Nothobranchius furzeri: one gene and its partners. The protein of the gene in region 5 binds, or shares a complex with, the protein of the main gene of each other region. Links are inferred from orthologs where the notes say so. Each region holds a gene or a part of one and is shown on either strand. Other genes may lie near its edges.

The links.
Region 1: lin54 (region 5) and e2f4 share a complex: the UniProt entries of both Homo sapiens proteins name them as parts of the DREAM complex. The link is inferred for Nothobranchius furzeri from reciprocal best matches to the Homo sapiens genes LIN54 and E2F4.
Region 2: lin54 (region 5) and mybl2b share a complex: the UniProt entries of both Homo sapiens proteins name them as parts of the DREAM complex. The link is inferred for Nothobranchius furzeri from reciprocal best matches to the Homo sapiens genes LIN54 and MYBL2.
Region 3: lin54 (region 5) and lin52 share a complex: the UniProt entries of both Homo sapiens proteins name them as parts of the DREAM complex. The link is inferred for Nothobranchius furzeri from reciprocal best matches to the Homo sapiens genes LIN54 and LIN52.
Region 4: lin54 (region 5) and rbl2 share a complex: the UniProt entries of both Homo sapiens proteins name them as parts of the DREAM complex. The link is inferred for Nothobranchius furzeri from reciprocal best matches to the Homo sapiens genes LIN54 and RBL2.
Region 6: lin54 (region 5) and tfdp1a share a complex: the UniProt entries of both Homo sapiens proteins name them as parts of the DREAM complex. The link is inferred for Nothobranchius furzeri from reciprocal best matches to the Homo sapiens genes LIN54 and TFDP1.
Region 7: lin54 (region 5) and lin9 share a complex: the UniProt entries of both Homo sapiens proteins name them as parts of the DREAM complex. The link is inferred for Nothobranchius furzeri from reciprocal best matches to the Homo sapiens genes LIN54 and LIN9.

What each region holds. Positions count from the first base shown.
Region 1 is NC_091744.1:86,783,033-86,787,266, forward strand, and holds the start of e2f4 (transcription factor E2F4), read right to left. Parts: upstream 2,893-4,234; 5' UTR 2,759-2,892; coding exon 2,597-2,758; intron 1,457-2,596; coding exon 1,347-1,456; intron 441-1,346; coding exon 279-440; intron 1-278. UniProt on the Homo sapiens protein: Transcription activator that binds DNA cooperatively with DP proteins through the E2 recognition site, 5'-TTTC[CG]CGC-3' found in the promoter region of a number of genes whose products are involved in cell cycle regulation or in DNA replication.
Region 2 is NC_091743.1:41,536,660-41,540,840, reverse strand, and holds the start of mybl2b (v-myb avian myeloblastosis viral oncogene homolog-like 2b), read right to left. Parts: upstream 2,870-4,181; 5' UTR 2,686-2,869; coding exon 2,666-2,685; intron 2,275-2,665; coding exon 2,178-2,274; intron 2,104-2,177; coding exon 2,032-2,103; intron 1,948-2,031; coding exon 1,855-1,947; intron 1,766-1,854; coding exon 1,545-1,765; intron 1,442-1,544; coding exon 1,309-1,441; intron 1,220-1,308; coding exon 1,160-1,219; intron 1,085-1,159; coding exon 878-1,084; intron 580-877; coding exon 307-579; intron 1-306. Other genes in the region: uncharacterized protein, read left to right, coding at 3,847-3,880, 3,951-4,181. UniProt on the Homo sapiens protein: Transcription factor involved in the regulation of cell survival, proliferation, and differentiation. Transactivates the expression of the CLU gene.
Region 3 is NC_091758.1:32,967,667-32,971,790, forward strand, and holds the start of lin52 (protein lin-52 homolog), read left to right. Parts: upstream 1-1,286; 5' UTR 1,287-1,369; coding exon 1,370-1,388; intron 1,389-2,630; coding exon 2,631-2,705; intron 2,706-2,780; coding exon 2,781-2,818; intron 2,819-2,912; coding exon 2,913-2,979; intron 2,980-3,161; coding exon 3,162-3,245; intron 3,246-4,124.
Region 4 is NC_091744.1:80,493,696-80,497,328, forward strand, and holds part of rbl2 (retinoblastoma-like protein 2), read left to right. Parts: coding exon 1-93; intron 94-1,672; coding exon 1,673-1,785; intron 1,786-1,846; coding exon 1,847-1,953; intron 1,954-2,081; coding exon 2,082-2,219; intron 2,220-2,579; coding exon 2,580-2,738; intron 2,739-3,012; coding exon 3,013-3,121; intron 3,122-3,195; coding exon 3,196-3,429; intron 3,430-3,504; coding exon 3,505-3,633. UniProt on the Homo sapiens protein: Key regulator of entry into cell division. Directly involved in heterochromatin formation by maintaining overall chromatin structure and, in particular, that of constitutive heterochromatin by stabilizing histone methylation.
Region 5 is NC_091746.1:62,986,576-62,990,942, reverse strand, and holds the start of lin54 (protein lin-54 homolog), read left to right. Parts: upstream 1-1,473; 5' UTR 1,474-1,598; intron 1,599-2,021; exon of another isoform or gene 2,022-2,077; intron 2,078-3,246; 5' UTR 3,247-3,278; coding exon 3,279-4,031; intron 4,032-4,367. Other genes in the region: cops4 (COP9 signalosome complex subunit 4), read right to left, coding at 880-953. UniProt on the Homo sapiens protein: Component of the DREAM complex, a multiprotein complex that can both act as a transcription activator or repressor depending on the context. In G0 phase, the complex binds to more than 800 promoters and is required for repression of E2F target genes.
Region 6 is NC_091754.1:25,779,549-25,783,766, reverse strand, and holds the start of tfdp1a (transcription factor Dp-1), read right to left. Parts: upstream 2,930-4,218; 5' UTR 2,702-2,929; intron 1,446-2,701; exon of another isoform or gene 1,321-1,445; intron 1,040-1,320; exon of another isoform or gene 893-1,039; intron 571-892; 5' UTR 498-570; coding exon 486-497; intron 222-485; coding exon 155-221; intron 1-154. UniProt on the Homo sapiens protein: Can stimulate E2F-dependent transcription.
Region 7 is NC_091742.1:4,991,284-4,995,488, reverse strand, and holds the start of lin9 (protein lin-9 homolog), read right to left. Parts: upstream 2,829-4,205; 5' UTR 2,763-2,828; coding exon 2,732-2,762; exon of another isoform or gene 2,728-2,731; intron 2,400-2,727; exon of another isoform or gene 2,335-2,399; intron 1,939-2,334; coding exon 1,906-1,938; intron 1,545-1,905; coding exon 1,453-1,544; intron 1,218-1,452; coding exon 1,104-1,217; intron 1-1,103. Other genes in the region: parp1 (poly [ADP-ribose] polymerase 1), read right to left, coding at 3,982-4,063. UniProt on the Homo sapiens protein: Acts as a tumor suppressor. Inhibits DNA synthesis. Its ability to inhibit oncogenic transformation is mediated through its association with RB1. Plays a role in the expression of genes required for the G1/S transition.

The DNA of each region.
Region 1 (4,234 bases), on a different chromosome or scaffold from region 5:
TGCTAAAAAAAATAGACGAGAAAGCAAAATTAAAACATCAAACTCTCACTGAAACTTTGAAATATGACTAGCAGTGAAACATTAAGATGTCTGGCTTTAAATCATGTGAAAAGTCACAACTTTTTACAGACTGAGTGATAATCTGTGTGACTTTTAAGTGCAAAATTGGTCGAATACCCCTTTAGGTGACCAGGTGCTCACAGTCCACATTATTACAAAACTCTCTCTTGAAAAAGTTTAAACATCCGCATGCACGCACACACAGCAGTGAAAGATATGGGCTGTTGTTGGAGTCGTCTGTGACATTCTTGATGCTTTGTTGAACCCAGACTCTTTGCTGGTCCAGCTCGTGTTCCCGGACAGCCAAGTCGTCTAGCTCAGCCTTTAGATCAATCAGCTTATCTGCAATCTCCCTGGTGTTGCAGCCAGGGCCGACACCCCTGAAACACATTGGTAAGCACGTGGTCATTCACATTCAACAGGCAAAGAAAACTCGCCGTCAACCTTTTTCCCAGCATAAACGATGAACTTGTAGCCAAAACAAGCTGCAGATAGATTCATCTCACGTCTAACTCAGGTAGAAGACATGCTAATCAGCCATGCTCATAGTCATTTCCCTTACGGCATTGTTTTATGTATGTAGGACATTAAAGAGCAAGTCACCCCCAAATCAACTTATTTTCTGATAAACTACATAAATGCGTGTCTAATCGTGCTGCAGACACGTGTAGTCAATAGTTTTGCACTTTAGTGCATTTTAGTTCAAATTTAAATTTTCTGCCTAAAACTGTCAGTGTTGTGCCGTTGTCAGGTAAAAACTCTGCACTGTATTTGAATTTAAATCTGTCATCGCTATTGGCTAAGAGGTACCCTAGAATGTTAGCTGGTTCCATATGATGTCACAATGTCGTTGTGATCCTGTGTGTGTTTGTTAGCGGCTCCACCCTCTCGGTCTGCTAGGCAACAGCATTTGTTGCATTTTTCAAACAGGAAGTGGGAGGGGAGTAAGAATCTGGTAGGGGGTGACTTGCTCTTTAAGTGTTAAGGACTGCTGCAAAACCTCAAAGTCATAAATATCCTCAAAGTATTGGCATATGATATGTTAGTATGATTACATATAACAAACATCACTACAGTTTAAAAATTGAAAGGTGAGGCTCAGACAATCGTGTTCAGAAAACTGCAGCCGATTCAGACGTAATCCCTGTTACATAAGACAATGATGAAAACATGAAGGCTTGATGTTTCATGAAAACATGAAACATGAAGGCTAAGAACAATTTATTACAGACTGCAGTTATAAATTCTAGTCTTTTCATGAAGCCATACATACAAATAAAACTTACTTCCATTGAATACTGTTCTTAGATTTCTTCTCTATAAGACCAATTCCTTCCAGGACATTAGTAATGTCGTATATACGTCGTTTTTGCCGCACTGCCAAGGTATCTGCTGCCTGAAAGAAAAAGGACAAATACAATGAATAAAATATGAATAACAAACACACATTTGGCTCTTTTGCACAGAAAATGTCATGGCTGAGTGTAAAATACACAAAAAAGATATATTTTACAAACCATCTGGGTGTGACATCTACACTTCCTGCCCAGCCAAGTCTTTGGGTCTTAGGAGATAAAAACAATTTGCAAGGAGCTGATAAGTCTAAGCTTTTTCAAATAGCTGGACTTAAGTCAGTTGGACTGAACGAAAGAGAAAGAAAAACATCTGAGCGTCTGGTATTTTATGATCTGCAGAGTGCAATGCAACCATAAGTGCCCGCAGCCAGGAAGCTAGTTTATGAAATTATGAAGTCAAGTTAATCTAAACACCACCTGGTTTACTAGACTTTGGCTCAGAGGTGGCACTGTGTTTATAAATGTTTCTGTTTTGGAGCATTACTAATCTGACAAGTCTGAGGTATCTGAATTCAGATGTTTGTCAGGACATGTGTATTAGTAGTACTGCATCAAATAAGTAGGTTAGTTCTCAGCATCTTGACATTACTGAGGAGGCATATCCACTACTTCTACGTGTTTAAACACAAAGATTTGCACGTTTTTGGAATCGGACTTGATAAAAACCAATAAGGAGCTATGCTGCGTTTGTGTACCTAATGGAAGTGGGCAGGTCTCATTAAAAAAACAACACATTTAAGATATTTCCTAAAACTAACGCAGTGGGGGTGCTTATCGTTCAGAGAGAAAAGGCCATACCCATCAGAAAAAAGAAACTGCTCAAGTGTGAAGATGCCACACTATGTTACTAGCAACAAAAGCTGACCCACTTTTGAGAGTTTGAATCTGCAGGGGGCAGAGCGAGTCTGAAAAGTTGGCCGGTGTTGTTTTCAAAGTTAATTTCACGTCTGACTGAACGGTTCGTGTCTATGGGACGCTAACACACCGAGTCACCAAAATAAACAAAGTTAGAGTATCACAAATGTTCAAATACTGTAAACCCCGAAGCTAACAGGTTACATCCATTCAAATTAGCATGACAGAGCTAAGCTAAGCTAATATGCTAGCGAAAGTAACGACAGCGGGTAGGCTCTGTATGACATGTGCTAGCTGACAACAAAGACTCCGGGTTGAATGCTCACAGCTTTCAAATCCAGCACTCCGTCTTTCGCCTCCTGTAGCAAGGTCACGAATTTGGTCGTGAGCAGTCCCAGGCTCTTTTCATGCCTGCTTGGGGTCTGTGGCTGCAGCGAATCTCCCACCGCTCCCGGGTCGCCTCGGTTACTAGCCGACTCCAGCTCCATCACTCGGGACAAGCTCCGTACTTCCCCCCGCTTCCCCGACCAGTTCCAACCCGCGAGCACAGGAGAGCTCCACCGCCGGAGTCGAGTACACAGCAGCCCGAGATTGCGTGGTGGTGTTTTTTTAATCCGTGTGGATTAGATTAGAAAATAGTTGCCCAAATGTATCTGAACACGATGAGTGCTGTAATTCAATGAGCAGGCAGTCGGTGGTAGAGAGCCGTTGGCCACGCGAGGTATGACGGGACGGTTCAATCGTACAAGGGAGTGTCTGAGAATACTCACGTTGTTTAGAAGACGTGTACAAAAATAAAATAGTGGCTGCTTAATTTAAAACAAAAGTTCATTAAAATTAGCTGGTAAATATTTTATATTACAGATGAGTTGTATCAGAATATGTTTGCATTGTCTTTACGTATTGGTTGCATCCATTAAAATTATGAATTATACGTATTTATTTAATACTACAATTTATGTGCTTACCCTTATCTACCCAAACACGCACACGAACAGACGCGCACTTTTACGTGCGCAAAAAACCCCACTAAAGTCTGCACGTTCTTAGTAGTTCATTTGCATGCAAATTAATTGATTATGTTTCGTTATTATTTACTGTAATTTTGTTTGTTAAATTTTTACTTTATTCTTCGTGTCAGTTGGACCAAGAGATGAGCAAGACTCAAGTCAAGGCCCGGTCATTTGTTTTTCATCACATCTACGAATTATTTACACAAAACCCAGCTTTAAACGTCCAGGAAGGCATATTTTTGTTATGGAGATGTGACAAGCTGTCATAAATGAAAAGAAAAATATCATACACGGGTGTTGCCATATTACTTAAACAATGCATTGGTACATCTGCTAGTTACAAAAGAATGAATCATATTCCATTAATTATTTTCTTATCCTATAATAACCAAGTTATTTTGCAGTATGGTTTTGACACACACTAGTTGTCAACCTTCCGTACTTTAGCTTTGTGTACAGTGTATAATTATTGTCTTTCCAGAACTGCGCTGCTCTGGGCGGCTGCATGTTGGAGTTGACTATGTGTAAGTTTTGCCTTTTCTTGGGCATTTTTCTTCTAGTTTCTCAAAAAAAACTGTATTTTTTGGACACTTTACTTTTCTGTTTCTGGTGCTGTGAAGCTTGGAGGATTTTTACTGCTATGTTTTAGCTTTTTTCACTTTTTGAGCATTTGTTATGATGCGTAACTATGGCAACAAATGGTTTACAATCAGGAGCAGCTGATTAACATTGGAAAGGCTGAAATATTACCTCAACTGAAGCCACAAATCCCAAATGAGCTAAACGCAAGAAGCGTGGGTGCAGAGCGGGAGCAAAACGGAGACAGAGAAAGAGGAAATTCAAACCATCTCTTCCATCGATCATAATGGGCGATGTGAGATCACTGGCCAACAAGATGGAGGAACTCCAAGCCCTTTCAAGGACTCAGCCAGAGTGTCGGCAGTTTCGAAA
Region 2 (4,181 bases), on a different chromosome or scaffold from region 5:
CCATCTTCTTTATGTTTAAGAGGGTGGGGTGTATTCGTTTAGTCATGTGACCGTGATTGTAATCATCTCTTCAGCTTTAATGTGTTCATTCTATGCAAAACCTGCTGATTTTAGAAGCACTGATGTCAGTATTTGGATATCGGCCCAAAAATGTCATATCGGTGCATTTATTTCTGTCCTGCTGCCATTAAGCCTCTTTTAGGCGAAGAACCGAAGAAGTTCAGTTGCCTTCATCAGACTACCATGACCCGGATGACGGAGACGTGTAACCAGCGTCGGTGCCGTCAGCATGGAGCTTTTCCTCACCTGTGACGGAGAAAAGGGCAGGATTTTGACAGGGGTGCTCTTTGGAGTCATGGACCGATTGACGTCTGGAGACAGGGCGATGCGTCTCCGGCTGCGGCGGGACAGAATGGAGGGAGGGGTGATTCCTCCGGGGGAGATGGGGATGAGTTCTCCCTTGCTGCACTTGCTCAGCTCCTGCAAGGCGCTGCCCTCCAGACGGAACTGGTGGCGCTCGGGGCTGGGGCTGTCCTCGGGCAAGTCGAAGGCTGCCAGGTTGCACCAGCCGTCCAAGTCCTCCACCAACAGGAGATATCGTTTTATTTACAAGTCTGGTATCCGCTAGATTTTACAAAGAGTCGACTAAATAGAATAGAATAGAATAGAATAGAATAATCCTTTAAAACAACACGGACAGAAAAAGGCACCACCTGGATTTAACTGCTGCACCGGTGATCATCTTTCTGCTGCAACTGGTTATTTAACTAAACCGGAGCAACGAGTTGCTTCTCATTTCTTATAATCAAATACGATTAAACTTTAGTTAGTTTCAGAGATGCGTTTGTTATTTTTCTGGTGAATTATGGGTATTTACCCCGTCTACCATGTCCAGCACTTCCTTCAGCACAGGGCCTGTAGGGTAGAGGAAACCAGAGCTGTCCACCACCCAGTTGGAACTGTTCGTCTCTCCTGTGGAGTCCACATCGGTCTTGGGGCTTGACACGTCCTTTAGAGAGGAGACAGCCCTGGACGACTCTGCTTCGTGGGAATTCTTAGCAGGAGCCGATGGTTCCTGTGACTTCTGTAAAAACATAAGGACTGATGGCTGATGCAACATTTAAGCTCATAGTTTTTAATAGATGCGATGATTTCTTACTAAAAGTCGGACTTTTGAATCCGTTTCTTTGTCCGAACCATCCTGAGAGCATCCAGCGACCTGTTGGTTCACCACAGACAAGATGTTCGAATCAGAAACACGTGAGACTGCTGCTGATGTAGGAGGCTTGGTGGAGGGAGACGACCCACCAGCACGTCTTTACTAACGCGCGCCAGCAGCTCCTCCAGCTCGTTTGCTCTGAAAACCTCGCTGGCGTAGAAGCCCATCTCCAGCTTTCGTTTTATAGTGGAGTTCCAGTGATTCTTCACAGCATTATCCGTCCTGTTAAACGATGTACAAGACCTTTCAGCAGAAGATTCAGCTTCAACCACAAATCAGTGCATCCTCCCACTTGTTTAGAAAACAGGAAGCAACATTTTCCGACCTTCCAGGAAGCAGCTTGGCGATCTCGGCCCAGCGGTTTCCAAGCAGACAGTGGGCCTTGTAGATGATCAGGTCCTCCTCAGCAGTCCACGATGACTTCTTCACGTTGGGGTTGAGGTGGTTGTGCCAGCGCTCCCTACACTGCTTTCCCAGTCTGCCCTTCAGGTGCTTGGCTACCATCGCCCACTGTTTGTTACCGTAGAGATTAACAAGCTCTATGACCTGGAAGAAAAACAAACAATTCAGTTGCATCTTTTTGACAATCTCAAGAAATATTCTACACTTGATCCACAACACGAAACGCAGCCCACCTTCTCATCCTCCTCTTTGGTCCAAGGACCTTTGACCAGTTCTGGATCCAAGACCTTCAACCAGCGGTGCTGACACTGGTGCTCGGTGTGAGTCTGAAGAATGCAAAGAGAGGCACGAACGAGCTAAAGGAGTGACTCGAAGACGGTAACACTAAAGACCAGAACAGCGGGACTCACTGGGATGCAGCTGGCAACACGTTTCCAATCATTCTGACCCAGTTTTAGAACCAGCACTTTAAGCTTCTCATCCTGTAAAGACAACCCAGTGTGTTCAGGTCTGCTGACCCACAACGACGTGATCTGGGACAAGTCAGCACACTCACCTCCTCCTGAGTCCACTTCACCTTCACCTTCCCTCCATCCCTGGGCTCGGCCACATCAGAATCAGTGTCCTGATGCATGGCCTCGTCTGCATCCTCGCTGAGAAACACATGTGCACAGCTGATTAATGAAGACACCAGGAGTTAGCCAGTGCCCGCCCTAAGGCCATACAGGCGGGGGGAGGCTAAACGAGCGGACTTGCGCGTTTTCATGGTTATATTATTTATAATTCACTAGCTACAACCAACAGTACTGCTGAGGGCAGGACAAGGATTCATTTGCTCAGACTTGTTGTTCGTGATTACAGCCCGGAAAAGGGCGGCAGTCGTGAGTCACAATTCCAACAATAAAACTCCTCCTAACGTGTTTCCCTTCCGCTAACTGCAGCTGCAAATGCATCTAAGCTAGGCAGTAACGTCCAGACATCAGTAGATTAACAAGTTCTGCTACTGTCAAAAACAACATCCGGCAACAACGATCGATCTCTTACCCGCGCGACCACGAAGACATTTCTCTGCTTCACTTGTTTACTTTGTCACACGGCGATATTCCCTCCTTCCGCCGCGCGCGCACAGAGGTGTTTACGTTGGAGTGGACCGTTGTCCCGGTGTGGTTCTGAGGGGCCGGCGCTGGAGGTTCTGTGTACCGACAGCAGCAGCCGCTGAGCGCCCATTCCGACCGCGCTTCTTATTTCTATCTCGCGCCCTTCACTCTCGTTCGACCAGAGCAGTGACGTAGATGCGCACCAGATCTGCGCGGTCGAACCAGTCAGGCGCAGGAAGATGTCAAACTTCCCACCAGACTTTCAAAATAAAAGAACGAGGAGCGTAGCAAGCTTTTGTTTATTCTAGAAATTTCACAATTTCTCTCGAAACTTCTTAACTCAAAAACAAGAAACACGTTTCTTCAATTGTCCTTTCTTCTGATTAATCCTAGTATATTTATTTATTTTATCCACTTAATGTAATTGGCTTGTAATCAATATATTTAGCCAAATATGTGATTTTCCTCTGGAGGTCAAATTAAAAGGCACTCCCTCTGTAAGTGTAAAAACAATATTGTGGTAAAATATAAACACTAAACTATTCCACTATGAAATCTAACATATGCTATACCTCTATTTCTTTCTCTAACTTGCCAGATAACCCTTTTATCAATGTGTCATGTTTAATTAAATGAGTCCTAAATACTCGCCATAACTTTATTTAAATATATTTACTTTGTGGTGAATTTGAGTAAAAGATCAGGGACAATAAGCTATGGAACCAATCGACAGAGGTGTCATTAGTATCAAATTGTTATAGATGTATATAAACTTGCATAAAACTGGACAGAAACCAAACAAAGACCTTTATTATGAAACTTTGAAAATAAATATAATTAATCACCAAGATATGAGACACAAAGAGCCTCTTGTGGCCCCAAGTTGCAGATTACTATGATCATGTGCTGTAAATTTGTCTTGTTTTCTTTTCAATAAAGATTTAAAAGCCATTCTAATCATTTTATAAATGAAACAGTATTTTTTAAAGCAGAACTGCAAACACACATCGGCCCAAACAGAAAACGTTTCCTCTGATCCCGACTGATGAGCAGCCTCCAGCTGGGCCAATTAACAAGCAGCTTCAACCATTTAAAGCCACCTGCTGCTGGCCAGGTGTTTGAAGACCAATGGACACCATGGACAAAGCTTTTGTTTTTAAAGGTAAGCATGCTGGTGATTTTGTTGCTACCTTTGATGAGAAGCTCACATTCTTAACTACTTATCTTTCTAGATCTGAAAAGCTTTGAGTGCTCATCTCCATCAGAGCTGGACAGGAAGTTCTTTGGAGAACAGGGTTTGCTGTCTGCTTTGTCTTTGGAGTACCTGTCCCTCTCCAGAGCATCAAATGAAGCTGTAGCGAACAGATCTGAGGGCAGAGTATCTATCCTGGCTTCCCTCTGTCTGTCAACGGATCTCCTTTCTCCTTGTCGGGGGTTTTCGTTTCTGGGCTCCGGCTCCAACA
Region 3 (4,124 bases), on a different chromosome or scaffold from region 5:
TATTTTGACTATGCTGTTAACACTAATTTAAAACCTGCATTACTTTTAAGTGATATAATTTATTTAGAAAGTTTATAAGTTAAGAAACAAGTAACCAAATTGAATATGGGTTCTTTTTGTTCTTTGTCTAAATAGATTTTTACAAGACGGACTTAGTAGAAACTCTTGCTCTATTTTTTAAAACACTTGTTTCGTTGAAAGAATGGAGAATGTGCGCCCTCTGCTGGCAAATAACAGAACAACACAGGTTTCCAACTGCATGCAGACAAGAAGGGAGTATTTGCTGCCCTCTAGTGTCTGAAATTTGATACTGCACATCCGATTTTTAAATCCATTTAGAAGGGAATATTTAGCCTCTTTAGATTTTTCAAAAATTCAATCACATATAGTTGCTAGCTCCGCTGGCAATAAATAGAACGACACTCTAATTTCCAACTGAAATCTGGTACTGCACGTTCCTTTTAGACATTCTGAAGAGAATATTTAGCCTCTTATTTTAATAAAGCTTAAAAAAAATCCATCTCTGTTTTAACTGCTAATAGCCCCAGCTATAGCTAATAGCTAAAATTTTGTTGTACACAGAAAAATAAAATAGATTTGCTGATTTTTAATTTTTAAGTAGTTTGTACAAGTGAACTAGGCCTGGGACGATAACAGATTTTGCAGGACAATATATTGTCCAACAAATTATTGCCAATAAACAATATTATTGTTGACATTATCGAGACCAAAATAATCACTTATATAATTTTAATATATCATAATAATGCAAGTACACCCTTTAAAATGCAGCAAATAAAACTCTTGTTAACATTAGAATGTTCAGAATCGAACTTCTAAATAAATGAATAAAACAAACAAACAAAAAAAAGAAATAAATAAAACGGACTTTCACTCACTGTTAGAAAATATTGCACCAAAAACCATAAAATAGATCCTGTATTGGGTCATCAAAGAAAAAGGGTTGGGAACCACTGACCCAGACTCTTCGAACTTGGACCAAATTGTTGTACACAGATAGCAAAATCTGTTCAACATAGATTGTGATATGTAAAACCACAGATCTATTTGTAAAAACACCGATTTTCTTTTCTTTCACAAATGTTGGAATGAAATTGTGTAAAATTGTACAAAATGTTGAAATGTATCTTGCCTGGCCATGGAACTCGCTGTGTGCTTAGCACCCCTAAACCTCTGATGCTAGGATCGCCCCTGACACTTATTATAAAATTATTAGTTTATTCATTTTACCCCCAGGAACACGGCTTTGGTGTGTAAGAGTGACCTCTTGTGGTGTGTTTGTGAATTTACAAGGCTTTGTCAACATTGACTCCTATTCGTTGTCACGGGTCACGTGATTATTGTGAAGATGGCGTCTCCGAATGGAGGTAAATTTTAATTCCTTACACAGATACGCTGTTAAAAAATGTAAAATTTAACACTTTAAATCACACAAATTATTCCACGAATGTATTGATGATGTAGCTGAACACCCAGAATTCAGAACTACACATATCAGCGTTGTAGTCCGACTTCTCGGAGGTGGTTTTGTTTGACTGAAGGCTCCACTAGCCCCGGTGTTGTTAGTCCACCAACGTTCAAGGAAGAACAGTAGACAGCTGGCTGCAGACCTTCCGTAACTCCTGATATTTTAAATACTACTAGCTTTTGAGTTGCCTCTTTGTTAAATACTGGCCTAATAATTAATATTTACGACATTTTTCCAACATTTTGAGGCATTATTTGTTTCACATCAACATATTTTGAAAGGTTTTTGAAAGGTTATATATATATATATATATATATATATATATATATATATATATATATATATATATATATATATATATATATATATATATATGTACACACACACACACTATGTAGGGTCATGTATTAGGAAGCATAATGCTAACACAAATTGTTACACTAAATATTGGTTTTAAGAATAGTTTTTGAATAATCAGCACACAGTTGTTGTCACAGCCTAGCAGAAATGGTTGTATAGGGACTTGAATCAAGCAACATTTAAAAATGAAAGGTATGATAAATAAACTAAACCTCCCAAATATTAGTAATTTTTTTAAGAACAGCTGATTAATCAGTATTTATCTTGTACACATATTTTGTTTTAATACAGCCAACATATTGTATTAACTGTTGTGGTTACATTTTGACATTTGTTTGGCTGTAGTCATATGGGCCATTCCCATCTGTACCGGGTCGGTCCGGGCCGGGTAGCGTTGGTTGTTTACATATCTGGGTGGCCTGGTATTTTTCCGGACCAACCAAGGCTCATTCTCAGCCCTCTTCTCGAGGGGGTCTGCTTCAGGCCGACCAGGGCCAACACACCCACTGCTGACAGCAAATTCACACCTTCCATTAGAGCAAGCCTCTGATTGGTGGGTAGAATCAGCCCACATGGGCGTAAGACAAGGATGTGTGGAATCAACCGGGCCAGGATGGGGCCGACTGGGGCTACCCGGCCCGGGCCGACCCGGTACAGATGGGAATGGTCCATAAGTCACACATTTTACTTGTATTTACATCAAGAAGATCACATTTTGTTCTAAAGCTCTGAAATTTCTGCCTGAATTCTGAACATAATTTTACTTCCTTTTCTTTGCCAGGTGATGATTTTGAAAGCTCTTTGCTTAGTTTAGAAAAGCTGGACAGAGCGTCACCAGACCTGTGGCCTGAGCAGTGTAAGTTTTCATCTCCTCTGTGCTTCTTTATGGTCCCACAGTTTAACCTTATCTGTCCTGTCATTTCTCACACAGTACCCGGAGTTGCAGAATTTGCTGCATCCTATAAAAACGTAAGATACGTTTTTTGTCATTAACTGAGATTAATACATTAAATAATCATTTAGATTTGGCATTGCCGTATAATATCATTTATTTTTATTACAGCCCATTACAAGCTCACCCCCTAAGTGGATGGCTGAATTGGAAAGCGAGGACATCGAGATGTTAAAAGGTTGGTACAATTGTTTTTTTTTTTAATATATGTTTAATTAGAAAGATTTTCTCTGTGCCTGCAGCGTTTCATGTTAAAACTGTTGTACTGGTTAGTGTTTCCATAAATATATAATCTTGTCAAGGAGAAACTGAGTTGATCAAACTGGAGCTTAAAATCTTTGCCTTGTAATCACTCTGCAGAGCTGGGTAGTCTGACAACAGCTAACCTGATGGAGAAGGTCAAAGGACTTCAGAACCTGGCTTACCAGCTGGGTTTAGAGGAGTGTAAGTACAAAACACACAAACAACATGAAAACATAGGCTGTGATGTGTTCGTGTAGTTTTTAGTTTTCCCAATCAGCTGTTTACGTCTATCACCACCAGGTGGTGCTAGTAGCCTTTCCACTACTACGTTTAGTTGCAGAATCAGATTTACTTTTTGTTTGTTCAAAATAGGCTAAAATCACATGGATGTTATTTATTATTCAAAATCAGAGTAGATGTTATTGAAAGTGCAATTGTAATTTAGAGTCTGCATAAAACAGGTTGGCCGTAAGATCTTTAAAACAAGGATTTAGGTCAGTCTTGTTAAATGTAAACAAGTAAGAAATGAGTGCATGCCACCAAGAGCTCACACAAGCAAATGCTCAAGAATATGATGGATGCACAAGCTCTTGTTTTAATCCATTCCCTCCCGCCTCCATTGTAATAATCCTTCTGGAGTGTGGATTAGAGAGATGTAGCTAAGTGCTGATATTATCCTAAAAGAAGATAAAAATGTTTTTAATGTTTCTAGCGTAAGAGAATCGTTGTACACCTCCTCTTCAGCGACATGTGTAAATAAACTGAAATGGTAGCAAATTGTGTAAAATAATGTGAGTTTAAACAGCAGGGTAGATGGCAGCCATGATGTCGGTTCTTTAATGATAATAAATAGTTTGTAGAAGGTTTAATAAAACTTTAATGCCACTTTAACAAGAAAATGTTCATCTATAATAAAAAAATCACCCCAGAGTGATCTACATTTGGTGGTAAAGCAAATCAATATTTTAATGTTGCAGAAATCAGATTGATTCATTTTGTGAAATAATTAATTTTAGAAATGATTTGTTTGCCTTGCCTCCAGCAGAGGAAGTGTGTAGTGGCTCTGGTATGAAGACGCTA
Region 4 (3,633 bases), on a different chromosome or scaffold from region 5:
GCTGTCTACCGCTATGAAGAGTGTTGGGCGCCTTCACACTCTGCTGTCAGGAACCAGATATGGGCCAAGCTCCAAGTTGACACAGATCCTCAGGTATGGGTTCTGACCGGACTAAGAGAACCCTCAGGTGTCAGGTTCTGATCCGCTAACCTCATTACTCCCACCCCACCATGTCTAAAGGGAATCACTTTGGAGATATTGTGCCGTATGGATGGTTTCGCTGGCATGACAAGTAATTCAGTGTAAGAGAGGTTGAGTTGGAGATGGTGGGATTTCACCCATCTTGATATGTCAGAGTCTGAGATTCGTTCAGAGACTCTGTGGTCGTCCAGCGGGAATGGCCGGTAGAGCTGGGTGTCATCAGCATAGCAGTGGTAGGAGAAGCCATGTGATTGAATGATCTCACCTAGTGAGGTGGTGTATATGGCAAAGAGAAGAGGTCCTAGTACAGAGCCCTGGGGGACTCCTGTGGCAAGATGGTGAACAGCAGAAATTGTCCGAGCCAAGATGCACTGAAAGATCGTCCTTTCAGGTACGATTCAAGCCAGGAGTGTGCTTTCCCTGCGATGCCCATGCTAGAGAGTGCGGACCAAAGGAAGCCGTGGTTGACAGTGTCAGATACAGCCGATAAGTTAGTTACATTTTAAACATGTCAGAAAGAGCGCGGCATGCGGGGAAATCCGTCCGTCCAACCAGTCATGGGCGTGCTGAATCAGCCTTTAGCTAACCTGTTAGCTTCAGGTTTTAGTCTCAGGGCTGCACTTAGAAGAAGAAGAAGAAGAAGAAGAAGAAGAAAATATTTCTATAGCGCCTCTCAAGATAAAAATCACGAGGCGCTTCACAAAAACAAAATATGTAAAAATATAAAAAAGCATTTAGAAAATGTTTAAAAATATATTAAAATGAGCAAAAATAGGCAATTGTAATTAAAAAAAATGTTAAGAAAGAGAGAGAGTGAATAGGAAAGAGGGAAATCAGTGGATCCTGAGGAAGGTGGAATAGGTGGGGAGAGCAGAATAAAGAGAGAGTGGTGAAGAAGGTCATACAAAAGCCAGCTTGAACAAGTGAGTCTTCAGCTGCTTTTTAAAGGAGACCATTGAGTCCACTGATCTCAGGCTCAGGGGGAGAGAGGTCCAGAGTCTAGACTTAGAGCACAGTTCGGTCAGATATCAGGTCCGTTTAGGTTCTAACTTGTGGATTCTTGTGGATTACGGCCAGCTCGGCACCGGTGAGGGAGTGTGCCTGATGAGTAAGCCACGTTTTATCTTGTGGGACTTTTTCTGAGGATGTGCACAGGTGTTACAGTGGTGCAGAGGTTAGGCATCCATTCTGTAAAGCCTAAAGGTCAGAGGTCAGCTCCACCACTGACCGTGCTGACAGCTGGGAACAGCTGTCTCTGCTGCAGTGCATTGTGGGTAAACACATCCACCTTGGTGTCTCCGTGGTTTGTTCAGGTAAAATGCTACCAATCTGAGCTGCTGTGACCTTTAGCCTCCCTGAAACTGAGTGTTGACCTTTGACCTTAGGGTGAACTTGCTGCTTTTCCAGGTTTGGTTTGGTGAAGCCGGTTTAAGGTTCTGGTGAGGTCCAGTTCTGATAGACTAAGCCTGACCTCTGACCTTTAACAATTTACATTGACTGGAAGTCTGGAGTGCGGCTGTTTCGGTTCCAGGGGCTGTTCCAGAGACCCCAGTGATGTCATCAGTCAGCGCCTGAAGGACATGTTAGACATCTTCACACAGCATCATGAGGACAGCACTGATGACAGCAAGGGGATGGAAAAAGGTGAGGACCTGAGCCCAGTGATCAGCTGATCTGCTGTCCCACCTGACCATGTGTTGTCCAGCAGACATGGCCGTCAAGTTCTTCCACCTGAGCGAGGCGCTGTACTACAGGATCCTGGAGTCCATCGTTGAGAGAGAAAAGATGATCCTGGGAGACGCTGACCTGTCTGTGAGTACAGTTCTGGTCTCAAGGTCTGGACTCCTGACCCAGGGCGTCTGGTCTGGACCGGGGAGGTTCTGTGTGTGATGGTTACCAGCTGTGACTGCACTGAACCATACCCCCTGTTGGTTCTGCAGTGTATTCTGGAGCAGGACGTGTTCCACCGCTCCCTGCTGGCCTGCTGCCTGGAGATCGTTACCTTCTCCTACAGACCTCCAGGAGACTTCCCCAGAGTCATCCACACCTTCCAGCTTCCTGCTTACCACTTCTATAAGGTACCAGCTGGCCCGACCCGTTCTCAGACTGAGTCCAGATTAGCCAATCAGGAAGCAGCATGCTGAGCTTCATCTCAGCTATCGGCACTAGTCAGCAGCATCTGCCAGACACTGCTCAAGACAACAATAATATAAACAACAATAATTGTAATAACAACTGTAATAATAATAATAATAATAATAATAACAACTATTTCATCATCTGATGAACGAACTAATACTCATAAAAACTCACGTTTACTGTGTGTGTGTGTGTGTGTGTGTGTGTGTGTGTGTGTGTGTGTGTGTGTGTGTGTGTGTGTGTGTGTGTGTGTGTGTGTGTGTGTGTGTGTGTGTGTGTGTGTGTGTGTGTGTGTGCAGGTGATTGAGGTGCTGGTCCGGTCGGAACAGGGTCTGTTTCGGGAGGTCGTGAAGCACCTGAACCAGGTGGAGGAGCAGGTTCTGGAGAGCCTGGCTTGGACCAGCAACTCCCCGCTGTGGCACAGTCTCCAGTCAGCCCAAGTCCCGACCTGCCAGGAGGTCCATGAGAACACAAACAGCACCTGGTTCTACTTCACCTGTAGAGATGATGTCATCTTCTTACTGAACAGATGATGTTGGAAACATTCAGAACCTTTTGTTTACCAAAGTCTCAGAGATATGAGGAGGCTTTAGGCTGCTCACAAATAAAATTCAGTGGTTCTGAAAGTTCTGTGGGTCAATCAGTGTGTGTGTGTGTGTGTGTGTGTGTGTGTGTGTGTGTGTGTGTGTGTGTGTGTGTGTGTGTGCACGTGTGTGTGCGTCTGCGTTTCAGGTGATGCCTCCTCAGTACCTGGAACAGAATGAAGACAGCGGTGGGGCTGGCATTGCCCTCACTCCAGCCTCACAGGGACCAGACCTCAGCACCAACAGCACCATCACAGGTGATTTGTCAGCCATCTTGTCTTACTCTTTTGTGTTTCTGTGTAGAAATAATTTGCCCCTCCGTCTTCTGAAGGCGTGTCCCCCTCCCCCACCACCCTGCAGGACCGGTATGGCTCCCCCCCCACAGGTGGATTTCGTCGCCGTCTGTTTGTTGACCCGACGGAGGGTGAGACCAGCGCCACAAGAACACCACCGAGCAGCGTCACAAAGCCGAGCCTCATTGCCACCATTCCGGCGGGGCAGACTGTAGTGGCGACCGCCACCGTCACGGCCAACAACGGGCAGACACTGACTATACCTGTGCAAGGTAAGGGACTCAAAACAATGAGTTAACTACAACAGGTGACCTGTAACTATGTGCTGACCTCTGACCTCTTTGTAGGGATACCCAATGAGAATGGAGGATTCACTTTCATCCCAGTGCAAGTGGGCGGGGCCACACTTCAGCCACTCCCTGCCCAGAACCTGACCAGCACTCTCGCCATCCAATCAGCTGTCACCAAGCCAGTCA
Region 5 (4,367 bases):
AGAAAGTACAGATATTTAGGCTCAAATGTAGGGAGTAAAAAGTTGTCAGAAAAAAAATACTCAAGTACAGATACCTAAAAAAACTACTTAAGTATTAGTACTTCCGTTACTTCCCATCCTCTGGTATTAACTCCAGAGATATTAAGATGCAATTGAATTAAAACATTTAGCAAGAAGCTTAGAAGAAATGTTGCAGCTCTACATTGTTATACATCTAAAGAGCATTTATGGAATTTTGCAGATGTATGAAAACCCCAACATCTCCTCATTTGATCAATATTATTTTACTAATTATCAATAATTAACAAAAACTACTAAACAACTATGTATCCTAACCCGATCATGAAAATCACTCATGAAATACGTGTGTACAATTTCATTCCAACATCTAAAATCAAATGTTTGAGACGAATTTTCTTTTTTAAGGTCACAGGATAAGTAAATTGGAGGACATTGTTTACAATTTTAGTATCATATGGAAGTTATTTACATAATATCCAAACTAATCTGACAGTGACTTAAACTGTTTAGATTCTTAAATTTTATTATGGGTGTTAATTGCAGAAAACACACAGGATGCACGGAGTTTCAATAGAAAACAAGGAAAAACACGCATTTGTTTAGCCAAATCAAGGATACGCTAGGGACAGCTAGGAAGCTAGATTCTAAATAAACCAGTATTATTTCACCATTCGTCTTTAGAAATACTGTAACGTTAAGGCTCACAGGGAGAGCTAGCTAATAAGCAGCTAACTGTAGCTTAGCCTAGCCTACACATAAGCTACACGTAAGCTCGCAGAGACTCGCTGTTGCGGTAACGTAAAAAAAAAACATTTTTATTAAAAACGAATGAGTGGTTCTCGATTGAGCGCTACATACTTGGCAGCAAGGTCTTTGTGAGATCCACTTGAATTCATCAGCTGAGTAAGCTCCTGTCTCACCTCGGACGCCATTATTGTGCGTCACCTGAAGTGAGTCGCGCATGCGCAATTGCTTCCCGGTATTTTCTTGGAATCTGGGATGGTTCTATGGGATGGTCATGGAATAACCACAGGAATAACGCCCCAAATCTCGTAGTTTTCTTTTGAAATAATTTATAAGACGGGTTGCTACTAAATAACTTTATAAACGTATTTCCCTTTTCTCTTTCTCATCTCCTCCTAGTAGTTAAATTGTTGCCACTGGAGGGCGTGAATACCCCTTCTCTTTTTCATTATTTTATTTTTTACTTAATTGAAAGATGCCAATGAAACAGTCAAATACATGCGTAACGGTATAGGATAAAGAAATTGCGAAATTGCAAACATGTACAAAAAACTCAAAAGAATAAACAAAGATGAAGATAATAAATACACATTAAACAATAAGTTAACACCAGACTATTGATCACATGAACACAGTGATTTGGCTATATGTTACAACGGCTTGCCTTAAAAGTGCTGTACCTTTAAGCGTAGCGTCACAGTGACGTTCTACGTGGAGGGCGTGGCCGGCCTGTGAAATGTCAGGGAGGAATGGCGCTCGGCGCGGTATTTTGAACAATCGCTTTTTCCTTTTCTTGTTTTATCTGGAAGCCCTGCCCAGCGTTAAAATCTTGGGTAAGAACGATTGCGTATTGGCTTATTCTAATTATCACCACACTTTATCTCGTAGGAAGCTGCAAGGTTAAGAATGTGTTTCATGTTGAGATATAATGTTGTGCTAGCTAGCTTGGGTTAGCAGGCTCGTTAACTTTGCTGGTACAGTTGTCCTGCCCGCTGGGTTGGGTTGGTGAGGCTGCAGCTGATTATGTAGCCAGAAAGTAGCCGAGTATTTCTCATTAATTAAAATTATATATTTGTATATTCTTTGTGTTTGTACACGTATAAAATTAAAATAACTTTGAGTGTTATTTGGTGCACAGATTCTGGGTTAACTTAATGCACCGTAAATGGAAAGTAACCGCTTTTAGCTGAACAGGGACATGTTTTGACGGAATCTCAACCGACTTCTGCGCGAATTTATTTTTCTTTCTTTATATTTGGAGTCATCAGACCCAGTTTCTGTGAATTGTTTCAAGTTTACGGAGCTGTAAAGCGTAAGTTAGTGTTTTTGTGTCATTTTCTCGTTTATTCGGGGACACCGCTGACGTAAAGTAAAAAGTAATGTCACGAATGATTTAATAAATGTCCCATTTAATACTGATTTAGAACAAGCCCACCGCAGGAGTAGAGACCGTTAGAGCAAACTGTTGGCAGTTGCAATAACTGCATCGTTGGCCCAACGTTACGTTCAGATTAAATATCTCAGGTGACAGGAGGAGGCATTATTGAAAGCTAACATTGTTTACATTGTCAGTGCGCTGCTAGAGTTTCGGACTTGTTCGTGACACACGGTTCATCGCGATTCTCCTCCTCATTCCTGTTGAAGTCGCGTTATTCACGATGAGTTCTCTCTGTTAATACTCTCAGTGGGATGTAAAGAATATTAAACGCATTCCCTTCTTCAGTGTGCTAACCGGAAAGCTAACCGAGTTGATGACGAGGTAAAAATGGCGGATCTTTCGAAATCCAACCCCGGCCTGAAATAGTAACGCAGCCAGCAGAGAGCTTGACGTTTCCCCCCACTCTTTACACCCCAATTTACATCACTTCTGGGGAGGTTTTAACGCAAACGGGGAGCAGTCATACCCAGCCTCCGTTTGTTCGCTCCCCCGTAGGGACGTGAAAGCATCCAGGGCAGCTGCCGGTGTGTGGTTTGGGGCAGAAAGGGGTTCACATTATGTGCGTTTCGGTGGATTAATGTTGAGCAGAGAGCAGCAGGACAAAGATACGCCTGAGATGAAACGCTGCGGCCTAGCTAAACCACCATCAGCTCTCAGCTTCTGTCAGAACCACCTGAAGACAAATGGAGCTCCTGCTGCGTTTTATTGCTGATAAAGTCCCACGTAATTACTGTAAACTACCATACAGGTCAAGTTATCAGACCGGCTAAGTCGCTAGCGTTTCTGTTTCCTGCTGTTTCACTAGCAAGATGTTAGTCTGCATTTGTGTTAATCATGAAAAAATGTTTATATAGGCATTTGAATCACGAAATATTTCAAATGACAATCGGTTTATTGCCCCAATTCTACCTCCGTTTACTCACTGCTAACTATAAATGCAATATTTTGGTGAGTTTAGGCAAATAAATGCCTAATGCAACCCCAGATCTTTGGGTTTTTAACATTTTTGACCTAAACTAAAATAAGCTGCTTTGTTATTTTAGGTTTTTCAGAGTGCTGAGACAGGACAACAAGCATGGATGTGGTGTCGCCAGAGCTCAACAGCCTCCTTCCTGATGAAATCATGGATACCGAGGCCATAGAGGACGTCCCACACTCCGAGTCTGATGGCACTGCAGTCCAGTCCCAGGCAAGCCAGGACACATCTGTTCCCATGGAGACAGATGCACCCATGCAATCAGAAAATTTGAGCATCTGCTCCAAAGTCCCTTCAATAGAGCACACCCAGACTCTGACTTCCTCCAAAGCTGCAGACTCCATGCTCACCATCAGTTCTGGAAATGAGCCGTCTGTCTCAGTTTCCACTTCTTCGACCCTCCTTTCCCTTAAATCAACTTTGTCTACTTCCACGGCCACAACCAAAACGACAGACAGCGTCACAGGGACTACTGTTTCCACAGGCGGCTTACAGAAGCATGCAACTCAGTTTGCATTCTCTGCAGCCAACCACCAGATCATTCTTAATAAGGTGGCCTCATCTCAAGCCACAGAGGCTGTGAAATCTGCAGGGACGCCACCCCAAATCATTAAACAGGAAGGACAAAAACTTTTGGTGACAGCAATAGGAAAGTCGGGGCAACCTATATTCTTTCAGTTGCCCCACACAGGCAGCAAACCTGGAGTATCACAGACTGCAGGGAACACCAAGTCACCAACGCCACAATTTAAAGTGGTAACTATTGGTGAAAGGACGGAGCTGAAACCAGTGATGGCGAGTTCTGGAAACCAAGTGACCACGTTACAGGCCCAGCAGCTGAAGACTGTACAGGTAACGTTTATTGATTTGTCTTCACTGCACAAAAAAAAAAAACAACTAGATGCCTATAATTTAGTTTTATGTGTTCTGTAAAATTACTCCATACAAATGATAGTTTTGACCTATAGGGAAATATATGCCAACAACACTGATTATTAGCTTTTAATTCTGTTAAGTGGTGCTAGTTTGATCACATTTCCAGCTAGTAGGCATTAATTCAACCTTTGATTCTCAGTTCAAACAGACATTAACTAAAGTTTTTAAATTGTCATTTTTATTTTCGAACATGTATCAGCCCCACAGAACATGCGTAATAAACAACTTGGCTACTCTGACCTAGAAACTCCG
Region 6 (4,218 bases), on a different chromosome or scaffold from region 5:
AATGAGGAAAACTCCTGGTTGAAACTTCAAAGCCCCATAGTTCACTTTTAATCGGTTCTACCGATATTTTTGCAGGATTGGTGGTCAGTGCAAATAGATTGTGTAAACTGGGAGAAAATAACAAAAACAAAGTCAAAAGATGGTTCAGTTATACCTTTGCTAGGGCTCAGATTCTGATCGATGAAAACCTTCAGCTCTCCATTTGTTTCAATCAAACCAGCCTGTAAAAGACAAAACTCATTATGCTGCAAATATAGAATATTAAAAATAATATAAGATAGTAGTGATGCAATAATGGATGCTTAAGTGTGCATATCTCCTTAAATTACACCAAATGGGTAATTGGATCATTTTGCAATTTGGGTTTATTGTCAAACATTAATGATGGTTTAGAATAATAGGTATGCTAAAACAACAAGAACCATCTCATCTGGCTACAAGATATAATGTGCATATGGATGAAAATATTGAGGGAAATTACTCACATCTTTAGCCATGATCCCAAAGGACCTGAAGGAGTTTAGTTCAGATTAAAAAATTGTTCCTTCTGTCACTCAAGTGTTCAGACCCCTGCAGAAGAAATGAAAGCTGTGAGCAAAAGTTTCAAGCTTCACTTATTTATAACATTTTCCTATAAATCCCCACGGCACAGATGGATTTGAATGAGCTTTTGCACTCATTTATGAACCCAGGCCCATTTCAATGGTTGGCTATGAGCACAGCACACTACACTAAGCTAATTCCATCATCATGTTTACTCCACTTTTTCCTCAGTTAGCAAAACAAACCTGGCGGAAATTACAGCTAATTGTACAAACCGCTGCGTCATTAGCCTTTAGATGTAAACACAAAAAAGCACAGTCAACCCTCACTTGATGCCCACAACTTTTACCAAGCTATGTGTGCACAAGGCCTACTTCAGGTACCGATCACGTCCGGAGGAGAGGCATCGTCCAACTTCTGCTACAGGTCACGAAAACGTGCCAACTTTGACGAAACTGTTGATTTTTCTCCACGGAGATTAAAATATAGTTACAGATAGTAAATCAGTCCACCACAGAAGCAGGTTTCACACCACATGTCAGTAATAATGAACAATCTTTTGTTGACTACAGCCGGCTAACCGTTACTGCTAACAGCCTGCTGCTCCTTAGCTTGCTAGTTAGCTTATGCACGTTTTCACACGATTGGCAGAAAATTCAGAGATTTCTGGTCCGAGCTGCAGATTATAGCCTTCTTTAAGTAAGAACTGATATTGGAAAAAAGCACTGCGCGTTTTGCACGATTAGAGGGGTTTAAATTGCGAATCCGTGCACTTACGAGTGCACTCTCTTGTCTCTTCGACGGCTGTTGTTGTTGGCATTAGAGAATGGAGGAAGAGGAGGTCTAAATCCCATCCAAACAGGAAACAAACTCAGCAATCCTAATGTACTTTTAAAACTATTTTATTCATAAATCAAAGTTATTCCTTTAAAGAACTTAAGCATATGATTAAAGAGTTGTTTTTCCTCAGGTCAGTTTTTTGTCGCTATGTCAAAAACTGATACCAGGATTTGCCTGTTGGTCGAGTCTGGCAGCTGACTAACCATTAAACATCATTCATCTCATCAGAGAAACTGATCACAAAAGCAAGCAAAATGAGCTGTACAACATTTTTGTCATGAATATAATGCACTAACCAGTTTTCAAGTTAAATTAAACCTAACATTTTAAAACTGCATATTATGGTAAATAAACAACAGTATGTTAACAGGTACTACATTTCAATTTAATAAACATACAACATAATGTGTGGATCAAGCCCATAGATTTGATCTACATTTCTTCTAAAAGGAGTTCATATTAAAGTAATTAAGTCAAAGAAGTGAATAAAAAACTATATTGACACCATTAATTCAGGGACCTGGGCCTGCAAAAGGAATCAGTTGAAATAGCAAATTTAATATATAATGTTAATCGGAAATAAACAAGTTATACAAATGTAAAGTAATTTTATATTTTGGGATTCCGCAATTATCTGCTACAACTGATCACATTCTCTTAAACGTTCTCAGTAGTTTTGATCTCATTCATGGGCCTCTTGGTCACAACAACCTAGTAAATCAGAACAAAACAAATCTAATTAATCGATATTTTAGCTTTTTGTGCAAAAAGTACACTTTTGAAAAAGTTAAAAACTTCATTGAAATGTTTCAAGCCAATTAATCACGCTTTAAATTTTTATTTAAATGAATATGTGGCTTAAACAAATAAAATTTGTTTATTTTAATTCGTTACAGTAAAAGAAAGTGAAAGCTCTTTCTACATTCAGATGAGTTACATATTTCAAACTTCATGTCTGCGGACTATTTAAACAAGTCCTGTTGCATATTCTGTTTAGTAAGTTATAACCGTGGTAATAGAAACCATGACAAGATCGTTAAGTAGATCGATGATCAACACTTCGCTAGTTAGCAACTGGTTATCAAAGCTACGAGCTAACTCGATATCAATGAGAAATCGCAACCTCCAGCGCTTTGTTAGCCCACTAGCTAGCCAGCAAGCTAACTACCAGCTGTCATCGAGAAAGTTTACCATTGTTAGCTTCGTGTGATATCAACACTTTTTCATGTCGACCAAGACATAAAGGCCGTTTAAACACTTGTATATGAGCTCTGGTCTGCGCCGGGTGGGAAGCCACCCTACAGTGGATGCATCTTACCAGAGCACTTCACGTTAGCACACCGTCAGCTAGCCTTTCCACGGCTCTCTGCTAGCCTGTCGCTTTCAGCAGTGCCTCTCACAATCTGATCTTGGCGGCGTCTCGCTACAGCGGCGTCTGATTGGACAACACTGGTGTGACGTAACCATAGCAGTGACGTGAGTCGTGCCCACAACCTACTTCTCCTGGGATTGGTGGAGAGCAGGCAGCTGCAGGGATGCATTTACCGCCATCTGTTGCGCAGGAGTAGGAGGAGGATTTTTCATTAGTCGCTATTATATCTACCAGGAATAGTTTTTAGGCCTGTCACTTTTATTTCCTCTTTAATTCGATTGAAAAAAATACCACACACCACACTGAATGATGCCAAATTTCAGCTGATATATCTGAATAGAATAGAATAGAATAGAATAGAATGGAATAGAATAGAATAGAACAATCCCACAGTAGGGAAATTCACTTGTTACAGCAGCACCAACACTTAAGAGAACAATTTGATTTAAAAAAATAACAAATACATTTGCATACAATGTATACAATTGGAAGGCTGCCTTTCCGTGTCTTGGCCCATCACTTGGTCAGATTATCAATGGGAGCCTCTGCACAGGTGTGGTCCCAGCTGCTTTGAAAGCAGCAGTTATTCGGCCGACCCTGAAGAAACCTTATGCTGATGTCTATGTGATAGAAAATTACAGGCCTATCTCTACCCTGCCTTTCACATCAAAACTGCTTGAGAAAGTCGTTTATCAGCAGCTGGTCTCACATTTAGCTGACGCTGATCTGTTTGAGGTTTTCCAATCAGGGTTCAGGTCTGGCCATAGCACAGAGTCGGCTCTACTGAGGGTCCTAAATGACATCTATCTATCACTAGATCAGGGTACATCTGTGGTGCTTCTGTTGTTAGACCTGACGGCAGCCTTCGACACAGTTGACCACGCGATTCTACTAGATCGCTTGGAACGATGGGTTGGGATCAAAGGGTCTGCTCTGGATTGGTTTGGATCTCCACAACAGAACATTCTGCGTTAAACTGGGTGATGTTTTTTCTTCTTGGGAGGGGCTCCGCTGGGGGGTCCCGCAGGGATCGATCCTTGGTCCTCTTTTGTTTGCCATTTATCTGCTTCCTCTGGGGTCAATCTTTCGTAAACATGGCCTATCATTCCATCTCTATGCTGACGATTGCCAGATTGATGCTCCATTGTGTCAGGAGAAAGGTCACTATATCCAGTCCTTTGTGTCCTGCATTAACGAGGTGGAGTCTTGGCTAATGGCCAACGTTCTGCATCTGAATGAGGGAAAGACAGAGCTCATTGTTTTTCACCCCAACAGCAGGAATGTGGATCGTCATGTTGATCTTGGCCCTCTTTCTCCCTACTCAAAACCAGTTGTCACCAGTTTGGGGGTGAAAATTGATGCTGGACTTAAATTTGATGCACACATCAACTCTGTGATCCGGTCCAGTTTCTTTCACCTGAGACGTCTTGCTAAAATCAAGCCTATGCTGTCAAGAGCCCACC
Region 7 (4,205 bases), on a different chromosome or scaffold from region 5:
GTTGTGAATGGAGAGCTTTTGGGGGACGGCAGGTTGTGTCAATTACGCTTTTGATAAAAAATAAAAAGCAATTATCTGACATCTTCAATTCATCGATGAAAACAAATCAATATGAAATAATCGTGACGCATCGGGATATCGAATCGAATTGAATCGAGAGACAAGTGAAGATTCACACCTCTACTCTACAGGAACTCGGCTCTCACTGTTCACTTTGAAAACGTGTTCAAAAGATTCGATTTGTTCATGAACGTCACATTACTACTGTGCGTTCATCTTTTTACAGCTTAATCTAATGCGTGAAACGTGTCCTCAGCCTTCATTAGTTTAAACAGAAGCGGTTCATCACTAAATCAAACAAATCAGCTGTGTTCAACATGCTGGAAGCAGACTGCAGCACTGGCATGTCAGCTCAACTTTACAAGGTCCAAAAGGGACCGGAAACTGAAGTTGCAAGTGTGATTTTCTGGCCATAGAGGCGGTGGGGTCTGAGTGACATTTTATTAACCCTGTAAAAGGTCATTTTAGCACATATCGGCTCAAGAAAATGATTTAAAAATATGAAGAAGTTGTAAAATATGCCTTTAAACAAACTATTTGGAATGAATGAACCAATGTTCCCAATAAAATCCACTAAAATGTTGCTTTAGAGGGCAGTATGTCAATATAATACTGCAGAACAGGTCAACCAAGTTCATCTCCTCTTCCTTGAATGCACCAACACCCCAAACTGTTTTGGTGCAACTACAAACAAATTTTATGATCATAAACGTCCCCAAAAGCAACCATTAAGTCATGATTAAATGTCACAAGTCAGCATTTTACACACACTTTAGAAAAGAAAAGCAGAAAGACCATCCTATGTATAACAACCTTATTGAGTGGAGTTCTATGGTCCTTACACCTTCGCCAAATAAACGTTACAGCAGTTTCAAAAGCTTAAGATTTTCCTGCATCTTACGTGCATGAACAGCACACACATGCACAGAACAACTCTTTCACTTCCTGGTTTTACAAAAAAAAAAGATACTCTTGAGTAATAATTTGTACTATCAAGCACTTTTAATGATTTTGAGACCCCGTGAAAACTTTGGCGTTTGTACCTGTGGTGTAGTGGAGACCCTTTGGCTCCTCCGAGGGGACCTGGAAGAGGGACGCTGCTGCGGCGATTCATCTTCCTCCCGAAACAAACGGCTTCTCTTAGAGCTCCTTGTAGGCTGAAGACACAAAAATTAAGTTTTCTCAGAAGAATCGATATTTTTTTTATAGAACTGTTTCTCGACAAATCTCAATTATGCCTCCAAAGTGTCTTCAAGAAAGTCCATTATTAATATTTATTCAAACTTTTTATGACAAATATACAAATCTTATGTAATTGTAGCTTTCCAAACAATAATAAATGCGTTTCTAGTTCATCTTAATTAGTCATGATAAAAGTGATCATCGTTTTACCACGTCCATTGTGACAGATGAATGGCGTCCTCTGGTGTTGTGAGCTCTAGTGAAACTGTTCTTCTCATTCAGAGTGTTAGACAAGCTGCCCTCTGTAAAAAGATGGATTTGTACAATAAATTGTGAACACAATCCACATAAATTTAATATGCTTTCTGACCAAGTTTGTGCTGTTTTTATTACTAGAAAGAAAGCACGAACTGCTGACTTTATTTTGTAAAAACATGCAGGCAGTGCAGGTCATAAGCTTGGTATTATGAGGGTAATACACAGCTTCATGTGTGTGAGGGGCTTAGGAATACTAACCACTTTTATCCAGGAGTTTAATACATATATGGCTCTGACCTAATCAACGTTCATGTTTTTAATGATAAAAACATAGTTTACGAAAAATCTAAATCCAGATCATTTTAACAGTACAAAGAGCAAATTAAAAATAAACAGACTAAGTACCTTTTAAACTGACCAGGGCCTCTGCAGAGGAGCCTAAGGAAGATGGGAAATTGTGCAACATCAGTATCAATTAGCATTATTAACAGCTAAAACAAATGTCATTTCATCAACAAATGTAGGAAATCAGATATCTCCATGTTTGAGTAAAATGCTAATATTACTTATGCTATCAAAGAACCAAAATGACGTTCGGATCGGTCAGATAGGTTGAGTTAGAGGCCTTTCCTCCCAAGTTTCAGCTGTCAAACACGGGTCGAAACATCAGCTTGACAGGCAACACCAGACATGGTGAAGCGAGCTGATGTTACCACGAACTGAAGGTCATATCTAATTACATTAAATTTATTTAGATCCGTTATTTCAGTGTAAAAAGCCAAACCAATAAATGATAACAACAATCGCGTAACCATGTAACAAGCGCTAACAAACCTTATGGTAAGAAAATACATTTCCAGGGAGAAAGATGAGGAAAACTAAGCCTGATTACTCAAACACAGAGTCATTAGCTGCGGTAGTCCTATTGTTATTGTAGCTCTATTTATAAGGTTAGCAGCGGTTAGCTCACAGCTAAGCTAACGGGATTCGTTTACCCAGTTGAGCTAAAGTAACTTCTTCAACTGCTGTATTAGCTATAGTTAGCTCGTGGTGCTAGCAAGCAGTAGACCGGTTTCTACATCCAAACGCGGCTTATAAAGTCAACCCAAAACCTACAATATTTGCCGTATGAACGGTGCTATCGGGTTTCCGCCTGCTGTTTATCTTTTTTATAATAGATTCGCTGCTTGTTCACACTGTAAAACTGACAGTATGGTGTGTTGTTACCCACTCTCGTCTAACAGCTGGTCCATCTCCGCCATCTTGAATTAGCCGCGCCGCTTTTCAAAGACTTTGTCAAAATGCATTCTGGGTTAGAATCCGTCTGGAGGGCGATTTGAGACAAAAAATAAACAAACTGATACAACCACCGGCGCTAAGTCACTTTGTGTCACTCTGACTCATAAACTGTAAAGTATATTTTATATAAGTACAATATTTTTGTTGAAACTTGGTACAGGAATGCAAGAAAAAAGATGGGTGTGGATAACAAACCTTGACTCCACTTAGACGTACTGGAAATGTCCTTTGTCGGATTTAAGAATTCAGACACAAAGTTAACACGTTATTTAATGTTTTACGTTACCTCTACAATAACTAAATTAGCCTATGAGCTGTACTTTAAATATTAAATGCTTTAAGTCTATCAGGTAGTCTCGTGATCACGTTGTTGCTAAACTCATTTTTATCTCGTTAGTATATTATATGCATTTTTTTATTTCACGGTTTTTACATCTTAAACCAAATCAAATTCAAGCACTTTCAAGGTGAAATCAAAGGTTTTCCACCATAAATATTAATTCAACTGAACATGTATGCTTAAAACGCGGCTGTAACCAACTTTATTTAGCTAAAAACCAAAAATGTTAAAGCAGTTGAAACACTTTTAAGAACACGAAGCATTAAGGACATGACCTTTGACCTCCCATAAGATCATTTACTTTCAACATGTTTACAAATGGTAAATAAATGCATTATAGGCTGATTTCCATTCAGAGTAAAACAAAAACATAAAGACAAAAGTCTTTACATGTCCCGTGCTTTATTGTGATTTATGGAACAAAAATTAACACAATTTTCATACAAAAAGTTGTGGAAGACGGCTTGAGACAGAAACAACTAAACAAATATGTACATGTCAGACCTTATACAGTATCATCAAGGCTACTTCAGAAAACAGCCATTGAAATAATTCTGGTCTCAACTCAAAACCCCTTGCAGACACTCTGTAACACTTTAGACGTAAGCTTATCAACAGATTTTCATGAACTGATCAAATTAAAAGAATGAAATCGTTAACCATCATCGTCTGAGGCTTCCTGTATTTTCTACAACCGTCCTGTTGTGATTTCAGTTTTACAAAGTTAACGTGATCCTAATGAAGGCTGCCTGCTACAGAACCATGAAATAGCTGTAAAGTGGTATAATATTCCAGGCATTTGGATGCAGAAGTGGTGTTTTTCTTCAAACGTTGCCTTTTTTCTACCACAGGGATGTCTGGTAATTAAACTTGATCTTCAAGAGATACTTCATGTTTACCTGTGCCACATCATAAACAATGTACCTGGAGGAGCAGTGGTTAAGGAAAACAGAAAACAGGATTGAACGCAAAGGAATAAAAATAAAGTGCATGTGTGACGAGTGAAATAAAGCTACAATAAAGACAACAACAATGTTTGTTATCAATCTATGAGTGATTTATAAAT